2 linked regions of the Kluyveromyces lactis genome follow. The protein of the gene in region 1 purifies or fractionates together with the protein of each later gene. This does not show direct contact. Links are inferred from orthologs where the notes say so. Each region holds a gene or a part of one and is shown on either strand. Other genes may lie near its edges.

Region 1 (9,770 bases):
GGTGCTTTAATTACTGGTGCCAAGAATTGTCTTGGAGGCTCAAACCCTTGGAACATTTGCGTATCCATTTGACCAGGCAATACCAAGAGTGTTCTGACATTCATCGCATTATCATTCAGAAGCTCATACGTCCAAGATTCATGATACGATATCAATGCTGCCTTAGAAGCAGCATATGTGCTAGCTCTAGCAGGTGACATTATTCCTAACGCACTAGCAATATTAACAACGTAGTAAAAATCGTTATTTGCAGATTTCTTAGGATGGAATGCTTGGATTAATCGTATGGTGGACAAAACATTTGCATGGAATATCTTATTCATTTCGACACATGGCATATCAGCAAGTCTGGAAAATCTACCCCTTATAGCAGCATTATTTATCAATAAATCAACTTTTGGAAACTTGTTCTTGATGGTTTTTATGGCATTTTCAACTTCCTCGTCGCTTGATAAATCACACCTTAGGAACTCAATCCGGTCTTTGGTAATCGATAAGTCTAGTTTAGGATCTACAACGTCTAGTATAACAATTTTGATGTCAGGGATATCACTCATCAACGATTTTACAAGCTCGTTGCCTAATCCAAGACTCCCTCCGGTAATGACACACACCGGATCAGCTGTGTCTTTTATTGATATCCAAGAACCCCTAGTCTTATACTTGGTATCAATGTGGAAGTATATCGTTAATAGTACACTATAAGTCAAAAGTACAGGGTATAAGTATCGGAGATTTAAGCCGAGTAATCTGTTAACTCAGTATCAATGGTAACTCATTGCTTGTTAGTATACCTATTTTCATGTCCAAGTATATCTTTCCCGTAAGTGCTCATCTCAACATACTTTTCAACCAGGATTAAAGGTAGAACTGGGTATCTAATTAACGGCTGTAAGGTTTCCCATAACGTGTCGACATTTTGTATCCATGTAGTACTACCTTGCATACTGAAGTTCTTCATGCCCTTACGATACAGCACTCATGAGTTAAGAATTTCCAATCTGCTAAGAATAAGTAAAGTGTCGATATTTGAATAGATCAAGTTTTCTGTCAGACCAACTCAATTTATAGGAAACAAATGACACACAAAAAGCGATCATCAGACCATGACACAAAAACTTTCCTTCGCCCTAAGTTGATTGTTTTATTCTATAATGGGTTATTTATTGACAATGGTGGTTTTATTTAAGAATTATTCAATCATACAACTAAATTTGCTATTATGAAGAAAGTATTGATATAATTCACTTATTAAAGATAAACAAGGAAATAATTGCAACTCCATGAGAGTAAGTGTGGGTGTTACAATGAAAGGTTCTTTACTACATAAACGTTTATAATACTGATTTCGCAGGGTTGTATGTGGAGATATTACCATGTTACTTCGGAATCATACTCAATGTACCTTGGCATCAACTAGCGAGCCTTTTTTAAACTGATAGGTTAAAGTGCAAGAGTAGCTGTCTTCCTGCAATGTTCGGGTGGGTCAATACTATACTTGTGCAATCCTGTGAAGTGTCAGTAATCTTAATTTTCTTGCCCTTGATAATTTGAACGGGTTTGATTGTGTTAAGTGCCCATTCTCCGGTGTCTACGAAACGTAAGTTGTACACCTGTACAAGATTATCACCTGCAAGTATGAGGTGACCAAGGTTTAAGGACACGCCTATGCAATAGAAATCTAATACAAGAATATCCTTTTTCCAATCCGGAATTTCCCCAAACTTATTGATTCGTATAATGGCTTCATCATAGCATATGATAAAGTTGTTTGGATCAATTCGAAAACAGGCTATAGGTTTAGTTTTCTTAGATAAAATATCTGACTTAACGTATTCAGCCATCTTCATCGTTGATGAGTTATTCTTTGATTTAGATTCAGTTTGCTTCCTAAATGACAAATGGTTAAGCTTTAACTTTGAAGTATCAGTGAGCGTAGTGGGTAAAAAAGCGCCTTCTTCATTGAACGAGTCTGAGTACAAGATAGCACCCTTGGAGGAGCAAACGATAAAACTGTTTCTTAATATGGTAATATCGGATACCGTCGAAGCTGTTAATCCGCTACTGCTAACGGGTATTTTGTAGCTCTTGTAATGCTTGAAAAATTTGAATACTTTCGTTAACGGATCAAACTCGGGAGTCATTATAATGATTTCACCTTTTCGTTCGTAAAACAGATGCCTGGAATTGCTGAAGTCTTCTGCCATTTTAAAAAATGTGATCTTCTCCTGGATGATGATCCCCACAATTCTGTTGTCAGGTAAATATTGTTCAGAATCGTAAAATGCTGATATTAAACTGGGTATGTTGAAATAGCATAACTTCCTGTCAGCAAGAAGGAAAAGCAAGCCTAACTTTGTGCTTATTTCCATCTTTGTCACTTTGGAAAAGTTGAGTATGCGTTTCCATTGGTGCAGTAATCTTGGCAATGTGATGTATACCCCGTGGTTTACGCTGCAAAGTAAAAATGTCTCATTCTCATATTGAAACGATACTGAGCATAAGATGTCACCTTTCATAGACGCGAAAGTTTTTGGTGAGTTCACACTGTAGAATTCCTTCATCGCAGAGCTAACAGCGGACCCTTCTGGCTCTAATGGTAAATTAGTAGGCGCCTGAATCTCATCGTAAGAAAACAGATCACAGAGACATTGTAATTGAAACGCCTGTTTTTCGTTGTGACCCATATGATTCTGGAATGCCTTCACCAGCGAGGCAACCCAGTGTTCTCGTTCTTCCATGGTTGAGGTTGAAAATGTATGAGATTCGTTAGACGCAGTATTCCTAATCTTGAATGAATAAGAAGATTCTTCATTATCGTCATTGTTTAAAGTAGCGTTGGTAGCAGTTTGGTATATCGTCTTCGGTATAGAGCTCATTGTTGTTCCAGCAGGTAAAAGTGGAGGCTTCTTTGACGTAGACGGCGTTTGGACATTGCAAGATTCTTCATCAGCATCTGACAATGATTTTCTTTTATAGTTAATGTCCTCCTTTGTTTCAACACTCAAATAATCAATGGGTATGGGTCTTTCTATTAGCTTATATTTCTTCCCTGATCCTTTGAATATTTCTTCAGTGATCAGAAAATAATTGTCCAATAAAAAGACATAGACAGGGGCACTCTCAAGCCATAGTTCTCTTTTCTTCTGTAATATACCTTGCATTATTAGCTTCCTGTCACCGTCCCCTAACTTTAAATCAAGATGCTCGTTGTTTGTAGTGAAATTTGACACGGAATCATTACCAGACTGTATGTTAAGGTAGTTGACAGTGTTGCCTGTCTTAGATGTAAAAATCAATTGACGAGCTAGTCTGACTATCTTACGTTTATCTATCGCATCACCATGGGCTTTATCTACTAATCTTGATAGTTGTTCAATCTCTTGAATTGCCATACGTAAGTATTCGTGATCATCCATTGATGGATCAGTACACTTCAATACAGATCTGAGTGTTACTGGCATATTTTGTAAAGATTTGAAAAATCCACCAAAAAAGATAACGTCGTGGTAAAGTTTAGATCTGGTTATTGGAGTTGACTCATCGATTTGCCTCAACCAAGATGCAAACCGGGTATTATTTTCCTTTTCCCAATTGATTATTTCGTGGACAGTAGCCATATTTTGCGCATACTTCACATACACCTGTTTAGCATCATTTGCCCACTTTAAATATATCTTGCCAACTCCATCAATGAATTTACCTTTTATTTTAAGTTTCCAAAGGATAGGGCTCAAAAGAATATCCTTATGTAACTCTATCAATGGAATGAATATATCATATGCCATCGACTTAAAATTTGGGTCATCCGGTAAAAGAGCCGGATCAAAAGAGGCCCCATATATCTCTACTGCTGCATTAGCGAGGTTTAATGATCTTTCCTCTAGCACTATTAGATCAAATATGAAACTCTGGCGTTTAACTTCCTTAGGATTAATCTCAGATAATTCTTCGGGAGTCAATTTCCAGTAATCGGTCCATAGCCCCACTGACTTGTTGATGAATTCTGAGATTTTAAGCTGTGACCTGTAATTCTCTGATCCTTTTGAGCTCCAGCAGGTGTATGAATAGCACTTCAAATCCGTAGTAGGATCATCATATATATGAGAATAAGAGTAACAGGGCAATAAATCCGTAAAAACCCCTTGAGTATCAAGCCCCGCAATGATGATGGTGATTTGGTTCCCAGTTTCCGGATCGTCTTCGAATCGCACAGCACCTTGTAAGATAAGCGATTCAATAATTTTGTCCACGTTCGAATCAATGATATCTTGCTCGCAAGAATTTGGTAGCTGGAATTCCAACAGTAATTGAACAATTTGAAAGAATTCCAATTTACCGAAAACGTATTCATTAAACCATTCGAAGTATACTTTCAAGAGCCACTGGTATATGTGTGACAATTGGCTAATGTTGTAGCACTGGTAAAGTTTTCTTTCATCCAAAAGGTCGATCGTGAAGGGGTATGTTGGCACTGTAATGCTAGCCACATTATTCAGTGGTTTACTCCCAGTGATTGAACCGAACGATTCATGTCTAGCATATTCTTCCACGTTTTTATTGAAAGCGTAGCTCGAATTGGAATAATAACTACTGATTGAGTCTGAAAGTCTTGGTTCATTAGGCCCTATTGCTCCATTACTAACATCTTTCATCTTCGGAGGTTGTGGATAGTATAAAGTTGTGTTTTGTAAACTACTTTTATCCGAAGTGGACCAGTTGAAATTTCCTGTCGATATTGGAGAAATGGCATCCAGCGCAGGGAGCGTTTCTGGAACTGCCATATCATTATAACGGTGTTCAACGGGCCCCGTAAACTGCAGTGTACTACTAGATGTTGCAGTAGTCTTTGTTGCCGCGTTAATAGGGCCGGAGAACGTTCGTGGGGGTAGTGCCGGCAGAGCTTTCATTGTGATATCTTTCGAATCCGAACTAGCGAACCCTTCAAACTCAATATTTGGCATCGTTACATTATTGGTGAATATACTTGAAGTTGAAGAAGAAGACAGCCTATTATTATTATAATTATTATTATCTGATTGTGAAGCTGGACTATCGCTATTATTGCTGAAACTGCTATTTGGAAGAGTTTCAGGTGACCGAAACACAGATGGATCACCAACGAAAGGCGATATATACACTTTCGGAGCAGGCGCCCTCTTTTCACTCACACTTACCTCTGTGACAAAAGGAGATGAATAAAGGTGCTGTTGGTCAATCTGAGGCTGCTGCTTTTCACTTGATCTAGACGGTACGACGGTGAAAGATGATCCAGATGTAGGAGTCACAGGGCTCGTCAGTATTGGAGGAGGAGGCCTCCTCCTCCTCTCATTATTCCCAACTTTCTTGGGAGTAGATTGTTGACTCTGCAAAGGCGGTAACGCCGGTAATCTAGGAGATCGTTGTGTACTGTCCATTACTCAAAATGATACTGTTGAAATGAATTGCAATACTTTGATAAAGGTAAACTTGTATTCATAAAGCCAGAAAGTGAAAGCTTCGTGTATATAAGCTAAATTGATACGCGAGTAGCAACGAACGCAGTGGGAGATATCAGTTTGGGGCCTTTCACAATAAAGTATTCATCTGTCCACCCCATCATCTATTTACATAGTAGCTACAACATTATATTTGTTAATAACAATAAGTTGTTCCTACGATTTGTCGTTACCATTACAAAGGGAAGGGAAGCAAATTGAAGAAAACAGAAAACTGCAACATCACAGTTTCGAACGGTTAACTACCTGTTTCTTATTTGTTTCCCTTCTGTTTCCCTTTCTAATTGTTTCTCACTTCCTATGTCGACGGCTGAACGAAAAAAGATGGAACCCCGAAACGTTCGCCCGGAAACCGTCGTTGCGAAGCATAATTACTGCTCAGAAGGAACTCTCGACGAATGCATCTCCAGAACTGTACGCTACTGAGCAGGCTATTGGAAAGACGTTAATATGAAGGTTTGAAGGGCTTACATGAATGTGGGACAACGGAAGGCACACCTGGGGCTCCCTTTCTTAGCGTGAGAGAGGATGATGCAATTTTGTGTCACGTGAATCATTTCTTTTTCTCATAGTTCCTACGTACCTGACTACAACAAAGTAAGGTTATCATTCCAAAAAGATGACAGCTTTTTCAGTTTGTGATTTCTCGAAATGATTACTACGAGTCATATCAGATGCCATAAGACATCTGCTTGAAAGGAAAGTGCACATTCTGATGTCATGCCTTCTGCAATCGAATCATATTCTACACACAAAATATGTATCAATATCTGCAAGGAATATCTTGTATGTGGTTTTTGGATATATGTATTATCAAACTAAAATAACAAATTAAAACAATTCCTGCGGTTTGAAATAGGACTCTAAACATGACTGAAATTGATTTATTGTTGTGTATCGTCGTAATTTGAATTGAATGTCAACGGGAATTGTATAACTGCGTATTGATTCGCCAATCGTAATAAATAAGTGGACATTGTTTTACTTTTTCGTAAATACCTGCGTGATATTTGTTTTATCTATTCTGGCGCGATTTAGTTTATATAATATATGTTGGAATATTCATTTATAAATTATCATTAAAGAAACGTTCATTAAATAATATGAGTCTTTATGGGTTCGAATGGCAAAAGTGAGATTGCTCTTTTCATTCCTCTAAGAATTGAGTTGGTTCATGTGGGACATATACCTCACGGTATAGGTTATCGCGAGGAACATTGACAGTTCTACCATGGATTGTAGATAGATCTAGGTATTTTTCGGATAATTGGTCTATACTTGTGACACCGAGTAATCTCATCGACATTTCCAATTCGTCCTTTAATAGCTCAATGGCTTTCTTGACACCTTCTTTACCGTAGCAACTGTTAGAGTATAAGAATGGTCTACCTAGACCGACACCCTTGGCACCAAGACACAATGCCTTTAGGATATCGGTACCTCTTCTAACACCACCATCAATGAAAATTTCGATTTTATCATCCAATTTCTTTTCTCTTAGCACTGGCATAGTCTCAGCCAACACTTCGATAGGAGCCCTAGAGAAATCCAATTGTCTACCACCGTGGTTAGATAGAACGACACCTGCAACACCGATTTCAGCAGCTTTCAAGACATCTTCAACACATTGAACACCCTTGATGACGATTGGCAATTTGGTCTTTTTCTTAAATTCGATGATATCATCCCAGTTTAATGCAGGATCAATGAATGACGAGAGAGCTCTAGAAGCACCCTTAGATTCCTTAACCTTACTTTTTTCCATAGCCTTGGCACCGTTTGAGTTTGTAAATTTGACTTTAGCATCTTTTTCTCTGTTACCTAAGGAAGGAGCATCTACTGTAACGAAAATGGCCTTTAATCCTAATTTTTCAACGTTCTTGATTAGATCTTCAGTGATCTTACGGTCACTGTTCACATACAATTGGAACCATTGGATTTGTTCCTTAGATGGGGCTGCTTCCACGATTTCTTGTAAAGAACAAGAAGCCAAAGTGGAAATCATTTGAACAGGTTTCACGTCACTTTCACCGCAACCTCTTGCGATGTCCTTTTCACCTTCCTTGGGGTTACCTAGTTTACACAATGCGGTGGCAGACACATAAAATGGAACACCGACTTTTTCACCTAACATTGTAGTGGAAGTGTCAACTTCCTTAACGTTAACCAAGATTCTTGGCTTGAAGAATATACGATGGTATGCAGCGTGGTTTTCTCTATGTGTAACTTCATCATCAGCGGCAGAAGAGTAGTAAGACCAAGCTTGCTTAGTCAAGATTTGGGATGCCAAGAATTCGAAATCATAGATGTTAACCAAGGAATCAATATCGGGTAAAGATTGACGCAATTGTTCCTTTCTTGCCACATCTTCGGGAGTTTCACCTGGGGTCAATGCAGCACAGACCAAGTCATCAGGCATTGTACCATCTAGTGGACCAATTCTGTTCTCTGGAGCAATGTATTTTTCGATGACATCTGGAGCATGAATTGGAGCAAAGATCTTGGTCACATCTTTTCCTGCGTTGTTCTCAATGATAGCTGGACCACCAGGATGGGCGCTGATGAAATCAGTCAAATTGTATACGTAACCCTCAATGACCACCCAACAGTCTTTGGGAGAAGAGTGCTTTGCGACTTCTGTTGGAGAAACCTTTGGTTTCGTCATATCGACCTTGGCACCATTTTCAACGCTATCATTGAATTGAGAAATCAATGCAATACCAACCGAACCGGCAACAAGAAAGGCACCACCAGTGATGACTTTCTTACCGAACGAAAACGCACTATAGCCAGACTTAGCTGATCTCCCAAAACGCAGAGTAGCACTAGACTTATGAATTGGAGATTTACTACTGGTGCTAGCAAATCTCAACCCACTAACACGGTTCTTACCAAAAACTCTTACGGCTGATCTCATAGTAATGACGATGTTGATACCTAGGGGCTTTGTTTTCTGATTAAAGATTATACCAAACAAATTTAACCTCAACCGCACTATAACCAATTCCCAACTGCGACATAGCTCTACTTATATATATATATATATATATATATATGTTATCTATTGTCTATTACATCTGCATTAAACTCGAACTAGTCATTTTCGTCAACAGCAAATATCGGGCCAACTCTTCGCAAACTCCAGAAATGAATGCCTCTTTCTCTAGTGTGGGATAAAACGCTAAACAGTTTCCACATTCGTGGGTCACATTGAGTTGGAACAAGCGGATCTTCGGATTACCAAGGACGCTTGATCAGTAACAGTACCCCAAGGCTATTTTCATTGACGCACTGGACGTCAACCATACTGTAATTGGTATATATTTGGAATTATATCGGTATAAAAATTGCACGCAACCCACGCGCAATGAGGGAACCCCATTCTCATTCGGCTTTCTGGATGTTCTCTATGGGTCCTGTATTCCCTCAATGTAGGCAAAATTCACTACGCAGTTGCCAGCCGAACAGTTGGAGATCTAAGGTCAGATGGGTCAACAAACCTGCAATAGCGTAGGGAGTCGTAGCAGACGGTAGATAGAACAGTGAAGTGTTCCATAGCTTGACATAGAACACGGAAAACGGTAAAAAGGACGTCTCGAGAGGTTTGCGCATGCATAACGGCATTTTGAACTGAAAAAAAAATTGTAGCGTGGGGAGAAAGCAGACAGGGTGGGTCGGAGAACAGGAAACAGGGCCCGAACTATACCATCGATACGCTAACGATGAGCTTGAGAAAAGCGAGATTCGGAGTGACTTTTGGAGCTGCTGTTTACCTCCTGTATATTATGTGTTTGGGGGGGATAACGCTGTGAGTAAGTACTCCGAATTTAACAGGCAGATAACGTAATATCAGGTGAGCAGGCAATGGTCGGTCTTGGACCTTATGGTATCTTGGACAAAAGACAGCGTCCAGCAAGTAGACTCCGTGGCCAAGCTGGTTAAGGCGTGCGACTGTTAATCGCAAGATCGAGAGTTCAATCCTCTCCGGGGTCGTTTTTTTTGGAGAAAATTTCTTTCAAAATTGATCCGCTGCCCGTACTCAGCCAGATGATGATAGATAAATCAGACCCTAGTGGACAGGAAGGAACGAAAGGCTGATCAAAGGTGGCGGTCAAAACGCCGGTGAAACCTTACTATTACTTTATTTTGATTACTATTATGCTTAATACTCGTAGCAAGGGCTATATATGATCAGGCTGGCCATGTTTTGGCCTCTATTTCAAATCCGTCTACATAACTATACAGCACGAATTGGTTTTCTTTGCTTGCTTA
Region 2 (8,423 bases), on another chromosome or scaffold:
TCTAATCATATCTGTCCAGAGAAAGTTCGATTACCATAGATACTAAATAAAACCAAATGGGAGTACTGTCCGGGTAAGAAAATAAAACAGTCCCGTGATATAAAAAACAATAGAGAATTAGAACTGTCAATGTTAGAGCCAAGGAAAAGGGGGAAGGATAAATGGGGGATCCACTTGCACCAGAAGAACCTGATACAAGCACTATACTGATTATCACCGGGAAAAAAAGTTATATTGTATTAATCGTTAAAACCTATGAAAATATAAAATACAAACTGATGGGTATGTTGTAAAATAATGTACAGAAAGAAGATATATGTGTGCGTGTGAGAATATCGAGACAAATCCAGTCTCTTGTTTATCCACCGAAACCATACAAGGTTCTACCTTGTCTCTTCAATGCATAGACGACATCCAAAGAAGTAACTGTCTTTCTCTTGGCGTGTTCAGTGTAAGTGACAGCGTCTCTGATGACAGATTCTAGGAAAGTCTTCAAAACGTTACGGACTTCTTCGTAAATCAAACCGGAGATACGCTTAACACCACCTCTTCTTGCTAATCTTCTGATAGCTGGCTTTGTAATACCTTGGATGTTATCTCTAAGAATCTTTCTGTGACGCTTAGCACCACCTTTACCTAGACCTTTACCACCTTTACCTCTACCGGACATTGTATATATTGATTTGAACTTTGTTTGTTTGTGCTGTTTAGGATTCTATTGTTGAATGAACAACTTTACAGACATACCAGGAAAATATCCAATCCAAATGATTGAGCCCTTTTATATACTTTAGATCAGGTTACGTTCTGTTTTTGCCCCTTTCTTTTCAAAATCCAGGAATAGACAAGATCCCATAGTAATTGAGTGGTGTTGCAATGTATCTGAATGGGTCTCAAATAACATGCTGTACCATACCGGTACCGTAACTTCACATCTGGCTGGTGGTATATGTGAAATTACAATCACGGACCATCTCTTTGTGGGATTTACAGGTTACCCGGAGGGTAACACCCACTCACCACATAATTTAACACTCAGTTTTCAATTTTCTTGGTATACTTTATATTAGACAAACCAAAACAAACTGCCTTGTACCACAGGTTTCGCGTCTGAGATGCGAAGTGCAGAGCACGCCACTCGTGGCTAGAAACCCAGGTCGATTTCTTACGGAAACGGGGCCGTCGCATTTACTATGGACTTTTGCGATGGCAGGAGGAGAGAAATGAATAGACACATCCCAGAAGGGGAAGTAGGATGAGACCAATTTTTTCTTTTGCGGAAATTGTGTGAAACTCTGGGAATGAGAACAGGACATGAACCAGAAGTGACAGGAGACTAGTGCACCAGTGCCTCAAGTTTTTTAAGCCCCTTGTTTTCAACTATATAAAAGGCTTGATCTTGAGAATTATCTTTTTCACCTATTACAGTTTGAATTATATTAATTCTGATTTACTGTTAATATTGGCATAAAACATCCAAGACAGTATAATCACACACAATGGCTAGAACCAAGCAAACAGCAAGAAAGTCTACTGGTGGTAAAGCCCCAAGAAAACAACTAGCCTCCAAGGCTGCTAGAAAATCCGCTCCATCTACTGGTGGTGTTAAGAAGCCTCACAGATATAAGCCAGGTACCGTTGCCTTGAGAGAAATCAGAAGATTCCAAAAATCTACTGAACTTTTGATCAGAAAGTTGCCATTCCAAAGATTGGTCAGAGAAATTGCTCAAGATTTCAAGACTGACTTGAGATTCCAATCTTCTGCGATCGGTGCTTTGCAAGAATCCGTCGAAGCCTACTTGGTCTCTTTGTTCGAAGACACTAACTTGGCTGCTATCCACGCTAAGAGAGTCACTATCCAAAAGAAGGACATCAAGTTGGCCAGAAGACTAAGAGGTGAAAGATCTTAATTAGATACTTTTCCTCTTTTCAAATGGTTTTCTTTTTTTCAAGTTTCTTTCTCCCCCTTCACTTCTTCCATGTTTGATACATGATTGCATGGTATCACTACACACATCCCATATACCCCGGTATCTCTCACTGAACAAATAATAATGGTATTTTATGTATAAACTCAAATCCTTTATTCTTTATTTTTGTATAATAGTAATATCAATTTTAATATAAGGTTATTTCATTGAAAAATTGAACTATCAAACATCAGTTTACTAATCATTTACTTGGGTACTCTGAGCGAGCTACCCTCTTGCGAAATCTACTGTGATGCTCGTTAAAGTGTGTGGTTTGCAAACCGTTGAAGCTGCAAAGACTGCTGTGGATGATGGTGCTGATTACTTAGGTATCATTTGTGTTCCCGGTAGGAAAAGAACCATTGACTCATCTGTTGCGAAAGGTATTTCAACTGCAGTTCACCAACAAGAGAACGTGAAAGGTACTAAACTAGTCGGGGTGTTTAGAAATCAGTCCGTTGATGATGTCCTTCAACTGTACCACGAATATAATCTAGATGTGATACAATTACATGGAGATGAAGATATTAAAGAATACAGATCTTTGATCCCATCTTCAATTCCAATCATTAAGAGGTTCCAGTTCCCACAGGATTGTGAATTACTACTGGACCTGTATGAACACGTAGACAATGTGCTGACGTTGTTCGATTCTGGTGAAGGTGGCACTGGTGAGAAATTGAATTGGAGTGCAATTTCCAGTTGGTCTGCAAGTCATCCCGAGATAAAATTCATTATCGCTGGTGGATTGAATCCTGATAACGTTTCTGTTGCCATTAATATGTTACCAAATGCGATCGGTGTCGATGTAAGTGGAGGAGTAGAGACTGATGGTATCAAGGATTTAGAAAAGGTAAAGCTATTCATCCAGCAGGCCTCTCAATAGAGGAAAAAACGTATCTTTCTTCAATTACACATACGTATATATAAATTGATATATATATAGTGAATGATCGTTCCACTTTTTAAGCAGAACCGGAGATGAAGAACCATTTGTCAATGGACTTGTCGATTGGTTCATCTGGCAAGACGTTAGCAGCTGGAACAGCAGAGGCAGCTTCGGCTGAGTAAGTAGCAGTGTCAGACAAAGTGGTGTTAGTCAAGTCGATCTTCTTGGCATCAGCAGACTTACCAGAAATCAACTTCTTCCAGGCTTCGTTACATTCTCTGATGACGTCCAAGGTGTACTTCTTGTTCTTGGCTTCACCGGAGAAGGCAAATTGGTTTTCTGGCTTACCATCTGGGATCTTGTAGATTCTGAACCATTCATTGGTGGCTCTCAACAAACCTGGTAAATGCTTTTCAACATCTTCGATGTCGTTCAACTTAGGAGCCAATGGATCGTTAATATCGATGGCAATGACCTTCCAGTCAGTTTCACCTTCGTCCAACAATGCCATAACACCAAGAACCTTGACTTGTTTCACTTGACCAGTGTAAGCAACTTGCTCACCGATTTCCAAGACATCCAATGGATCGTTGTCACCAACAGCCTTAGTCTCTGGGTGAGATTCGTTTGGATCTTCCCATGTTTGTGGGAAGGCACCGTAGTTGTGAATGTAACCGTGATGTGGGAAACAGTTTCTAACAAATCTTAACTTACCCTTCTTGGTGTCTTGAATAATTGGGTTCAATGGCTCTTCCTTGGTAATTTCCAACTTGGCATTGGTCCAACGTGGAATTTCAACAACCATGTTGAAGATACCATTGGCTTCATCAGCATACAATGGGATGTCGTGGAAAGCAGAAATTGGCTTACCATCCTTTTCAATGTAAACCTTGTAATCCAAGGAATTCTTGGCACCAACTTGTCTAGTAGTGTAACTCATCGTGTCCGGTGTATATATACGTTTGGCGGGGGGTATATAAGGCTGTATATCAATTGAAGAACCTAAGATCATATATATGGCGTCAGTGGCCAATGGTAAACCAGTGCAGGCATTTTTCATTCCTATTTATATATGAATTTTGCAACTTTTTTTTCCTCAGGTCGTCCACTTTGAGAGAACGACAGGATGGAAAAGAAGCAGATTGGTGCTTGAAGAAGCGATAGTTTAGGAAGTGGCTGATTCTGTGTTCGTGTGTAGGTGTGCTAGGGTATACATTAGGGTCTGTATATATTTGGTCCGATTGTATACAGTTGCAGTTGCATAGTGTATTTTTTTTAAAGTCATTGGGTTTAATCATGCTTCTCTCTTTGTAGTAACAGAGTTTCACATTAGGGGAAAATCACGTGATAAGAGTGCTTTTGGGGAAAAGCCACACGATAGGTACCGCATGGTCGTGGCTTGCTGAAACGGTAGGTCAACGTACAATCGACGTGTGTACTGACGAACAAACATTGACTGCAACACGATACCATTTTACAATAGTATACTGGTTAGCTTATCGCCCTTTTTTATTGAACCAGTGGTTGTGTATTCTCACATGAGCTTGATCATCTGATTGTAAAAGTATCAGGTGTAGTTGTTTTTCTTACCCCATCAAACAAGAAATTAACAGCTTCTATGGCCAAGTTGGTAAGGCGCCACACTAGTAATGTGGAGATCATCAGTTCGACTCTGGTTGGAAGCATTTTCTTTTTTGTCTCATGTGAGCAAGAGACACCACCTGTAATATGGCCTCGCTACCTAGTATACTTAGCCCATCACTGATGATTTGAACCACTACTCTATCCTATTACCAATTAAATAGATGTACACACACATATCTTCAGCATATCGAGTCTTCCCTTCATCGTATGAAGCCATCATCCATCACATCTTGATCTATTTCACCACCACCCATCGGAATGTTGTGCTGTCTCACACTCATCAACAGTTTCTGGAACTCATCATGGTGCATCTTATTTATCAGAACGTTAGGCCTCAACTGGAATCCTTGTCTACACAAGGGACACAACCCTTTTGATGTTTCAGTACTTAGCCATTGCTTGATACAATGAACATGGAAATTATGATTGCATAATCCTAACACAATTGGACATCCGCTACCAGGGTAATCACAGGAGGGGCAAGTAGCATCGTACCGGTTACGACAGATCCCACACACTTCATATTCTTCTTCATCGTTCTCTGCATCCTCATCTTCATTCTGTATATCTTCCCATTTTTCCATATGTACCGTTTGATCTGCAACACCATGTTTCCCTTTCGATAAATCCTTGGGAATATCCCACGCCCAAGTGCTCACTAGACTGACATCTGTTACCTCTATACGCATAGTAACACGGGTGAAGTATCCTTATCGCAGGCTTTATCCTCGTCACAGTTCCCTTCGTTCTGTCTTTGTGTTTTCAATTCTTCCTATCTAATCCTTTCTTATAATATATTATACCCATATGCATAAAAGTGTCACAGGTTCTATTACAAATTTAATAAAGGGATCAGATCCACTGTAGTATAGTATACGAATGTTTATATATGTTATAGGCCAAGTTTTAAGTCGCAGCAGCAGCTTTCTTCACGGATAAAGTAGATCCGGCCCATGTCTTCAAGCTCTGTAATAATGAATTATCCTCATGTAATCCAGCAAATTCATCGCTACCACCACGAGATATACCATTGATAATAACGTTAGGAACAGTAGACCTTCCTGTCTTGCTACCGATATATTTCTGTAGTTCAGCTCCATTCTCATGCTTATCCAATTCAACGATAGTATAAATTGGATCAAATTCATACTCCTTCAACAAGTTCTTGAGCCTCGTACTGAAAGGACAGTAACTCTTAGAAAACACCACGATTGGTGATTGAGAAAGGATATTCTTGTACTCAGCTTCAGCGTTGTATGTTTCTACTTCAGCAGCGAAATCAGAGTCTTTCACACCGTTGGGCCCAGCCATATTTTTAACTGCGTTGCTGGTATCAGCAACAACCGCGTTACTCTTGGTTTCAGCAATACCTTCTTGGATATTGTTGATGTCACTCTCGACCTTGGCATCATTCGCGAGGTTGCTAGATTCTTTCCCCACGTAAGAACGCGTCACGGACTCTGCATTGTGCCTGATGAAGAAAAGAACGAAAATCACCATACCGGTGAGACTTACCAGCCTCAAACTTCTCTTACTCAACATCTCGTTTCAACAACGCCTGGGATCTGATAATCTATGAAAGTGTAGACAGACGGTGTGTCCAAAATCTAACGTGTCTTGTTCATATTGTTTCATCATTTTAAGGTTGTATGTGACAAGAACCAATTTCTTAAATAGCAAGAAATTTCACTATTTCATTCTTGACCAACAGCCGTATCATCGATAAATAAGAGAGAACTAAAGAAACAGGGGAAAGGATGGAATACCTATGGGTTTGCCGGACGCATTAAAGCATAAATAGTGTATAAATAATACTAGATACCACCCGCTATCCTGAATATATGCATATTTATATTTAAAACGGAAAATTTACTGGAAACATAACGCGTAAGATTTTAATTTGCGGGCAGATTAGATGTTGTTGAATTAATGATTGTTTTTATAAATATTATAGTATGATATGCGGTAAAGTCTGTATTAGAATTAAAATGAACGATAAGATCAGTTGTTAAAACAGTATTCTAAACTTCAATTAAAGAACAATCAGGAAAGAAAATTAGAAAGAACATGAAAAAGAACATGCAGTTGTAATATGTTTGATGCTGGGAACGCTTCGGCCCATCGTCAATTTATGACTTTGTAATTATTTTTGTCTTTCCTTTCAGAGTTAAAATCTTCCTTCCATGGCTTCTGAGTGACTTTCTATTAGGTAAACTAATCTTTCATTTACGTAGTTGCAAATGATGCCCCAATTAGATTCTAGTTTAACTGCTTTCTCGAAGTATTTAAAGTGTACCCTTTTATCACAGACATACTCTTTGAAAGTTTTGAACACTTCTAATTCAAGATCGTATCCGTTCATTCTTTTCAAGTTTCTGTAAGATCTGATATGCTTACCATCCTGAATCAAATCCTGAGATAATGCAAGTTCAACGGGGTCGAATTTCGGTAGATGGGAATGAACAAACATCACATCGACCGGATCATTTGTGAAATACTTACCGAGGTAATTTTCTTGATAATTATACTTTGGATCGTAGTCATCGGGTTCGTTTGTATATTTGGTTCCGATTTCGTTTTGAGCTTGACGATACCTTTTGTAATCCTGGGCGAAATCGTGCTGTAACATACAAACGCCGCGGAAACCCTCGTTATTATGCCTATGATACCCATCAACACGGGGTTCAGAACGTACTTGGTAGAAGGGCAAGTCATAGAAATGAGCCGCAGCGATGAACGTTTCCTTGTCACCTTCACCTGAGGAACGCTGAGAGAAGATAGAATAGTACCACGATGGCCCGTAAACGTTATAGTATAACGATAGTAAAACCGTTGGAAAATGTTTCAGTTTGTTGATCATCAATTGACCCGATTCAGTGGAAGCATCTGGAATAGTTCCATCAAGATCATGTAGCGGAACGTCAGACAAATCTTTCAAATCCTTGGTATAGACTGAAGGCGGAGTGACATCGTCCATGGTGTTACGGATTCTTTCGCTTGAGATAGGTGTATTAGCAATACTATAGTATGATGGATGTGTGGTACGTCTCCAGAAGTCAGGCCATAGGATAAGACCAGTATCCTTATAGGATTTTTCTTCAAAGATCCCATCCAATGGTTTGATTGGGAAATTGTCTGCGTCTAGTAATAGCAAATTCTTGAAGCTGGATGCGATGATAGCCAATGATTTGAATTGATAACCTTTGAAATCGGATTTTTCTATCAAGTCAGGTGGGAAAGCATCTGACAGATAGATACACTTAGCGTTATACTGAGGTAACAAGACGTTACAGAATTCGTCGTCACCTTCATCACTAGGGGGGATGAAAACTTCTACTGGTAAAGTTGTGCCGAAATTTCTTACCGTTTTAATGATAAGGAAAGCCATCATCGAAAATTTACCACCACCAACTGTCACTATACCGTCTCCACTATACGTATCCTTGGGCAACACTAATTTACTCAATGCATGAACGTAATTTGAATGGGCCTCTTTTAACATCAGCCGTTGTTCTTGAGAAAGTTGCAAACAGTTGTTCAACTCTTCAGTGGTAAGTTTCCACCACTGGTCTGTGTTCTCTTGCCTATACCCAATATCACCGTTCAAACTACATTTTTGGTTATAAGTAGCAATATTAACTCCAACAGGACCAAATTCCTTCAAATACTTGAAAACTTGACCATAAAACCCTTGGACCTGTTTCTTCTTTGAACTGGGGGTAGAACTTGCGCCAACGTTATCCTTTACAACACCATCATTATTATTTTCGTTATAATAGTTATTATTATTTTTTATTTTATCGCCATTGATCTTGTTATTACTATCACCATTGGTATTGGTCTGTGATCCTTGCTTGTCACCCTGCTGTTGGCTCGCTTCCTGTCTCGCATCATCGTACGAAGAGCCTGTATCCTCATAC

Evidence for each region.
Region 2: the proteins of TUS1 (region 1) and IPP1 purify together in Saccharomyces cerevisiae (affinity purification with mass spectrometry; 3 studies listed by BioGRID). This does not show direct contact. The link is inferred for Kluyveromyces lactis from reciprocal best matches to the Saccharomyces cerevisiae genes TUS1 and IPP1.

Annotation. Positions count from the first base shown.
Region 1 is NC_006040.1:218,837-228,606, forward strand, and holds TUS1 (Rho family guanine nucleotide exchange factor TUS1), read right to left. Parts: upstream 5,418-9,770; coding exon 1,431-5,417; downstream 1-1,430. Other genes in the region: TDA5 (Tda5p), read right to left, coding at 1-750, 846-946; CYB2 (L-lactate dehydrogenase (cytochrome)), read right to left, coding at 6,646-8,415; palmitoyltransferase YKT6, read right to left, coding at 9,728-9,770. UniProt on the Saccharomyces cerevisiae protein: Guanine nucleotide-exchange factor (GEF) for RHO1 that stimulates the exchange of RHO1 GDP-bound form into GTP-bound form. Required for signaling of cell wall defects to RHO1.
Region 2 is NC_006041.1:1,566,315-1,574,737, forward strand, and holds IPP1 (inorganic diphosphatase IPP1), read right to left. Parts: upstream 3,920-8,423; coding exon 2,936-3,919; downstream 1-2,935. Other genes in the region: HHF1 (histone H4), read right to left, coding at 359-670; HHT1 (histone H3), read left to right, coding at 1,500-1,910; phosphoribosylanthranilate isomerase TRP1, read left to right, coding at 2,224-2,856; APC11 (anaphase promoting complex subunit 11), read right to left, coding at 4,704-5,192; KLLA0_E17733g (glutaredoxin), read right to left, coding at 5,410-6,045; alpha-1,2-mannosyltransferase MNN2, read right to left, coding at 6,671-8,423.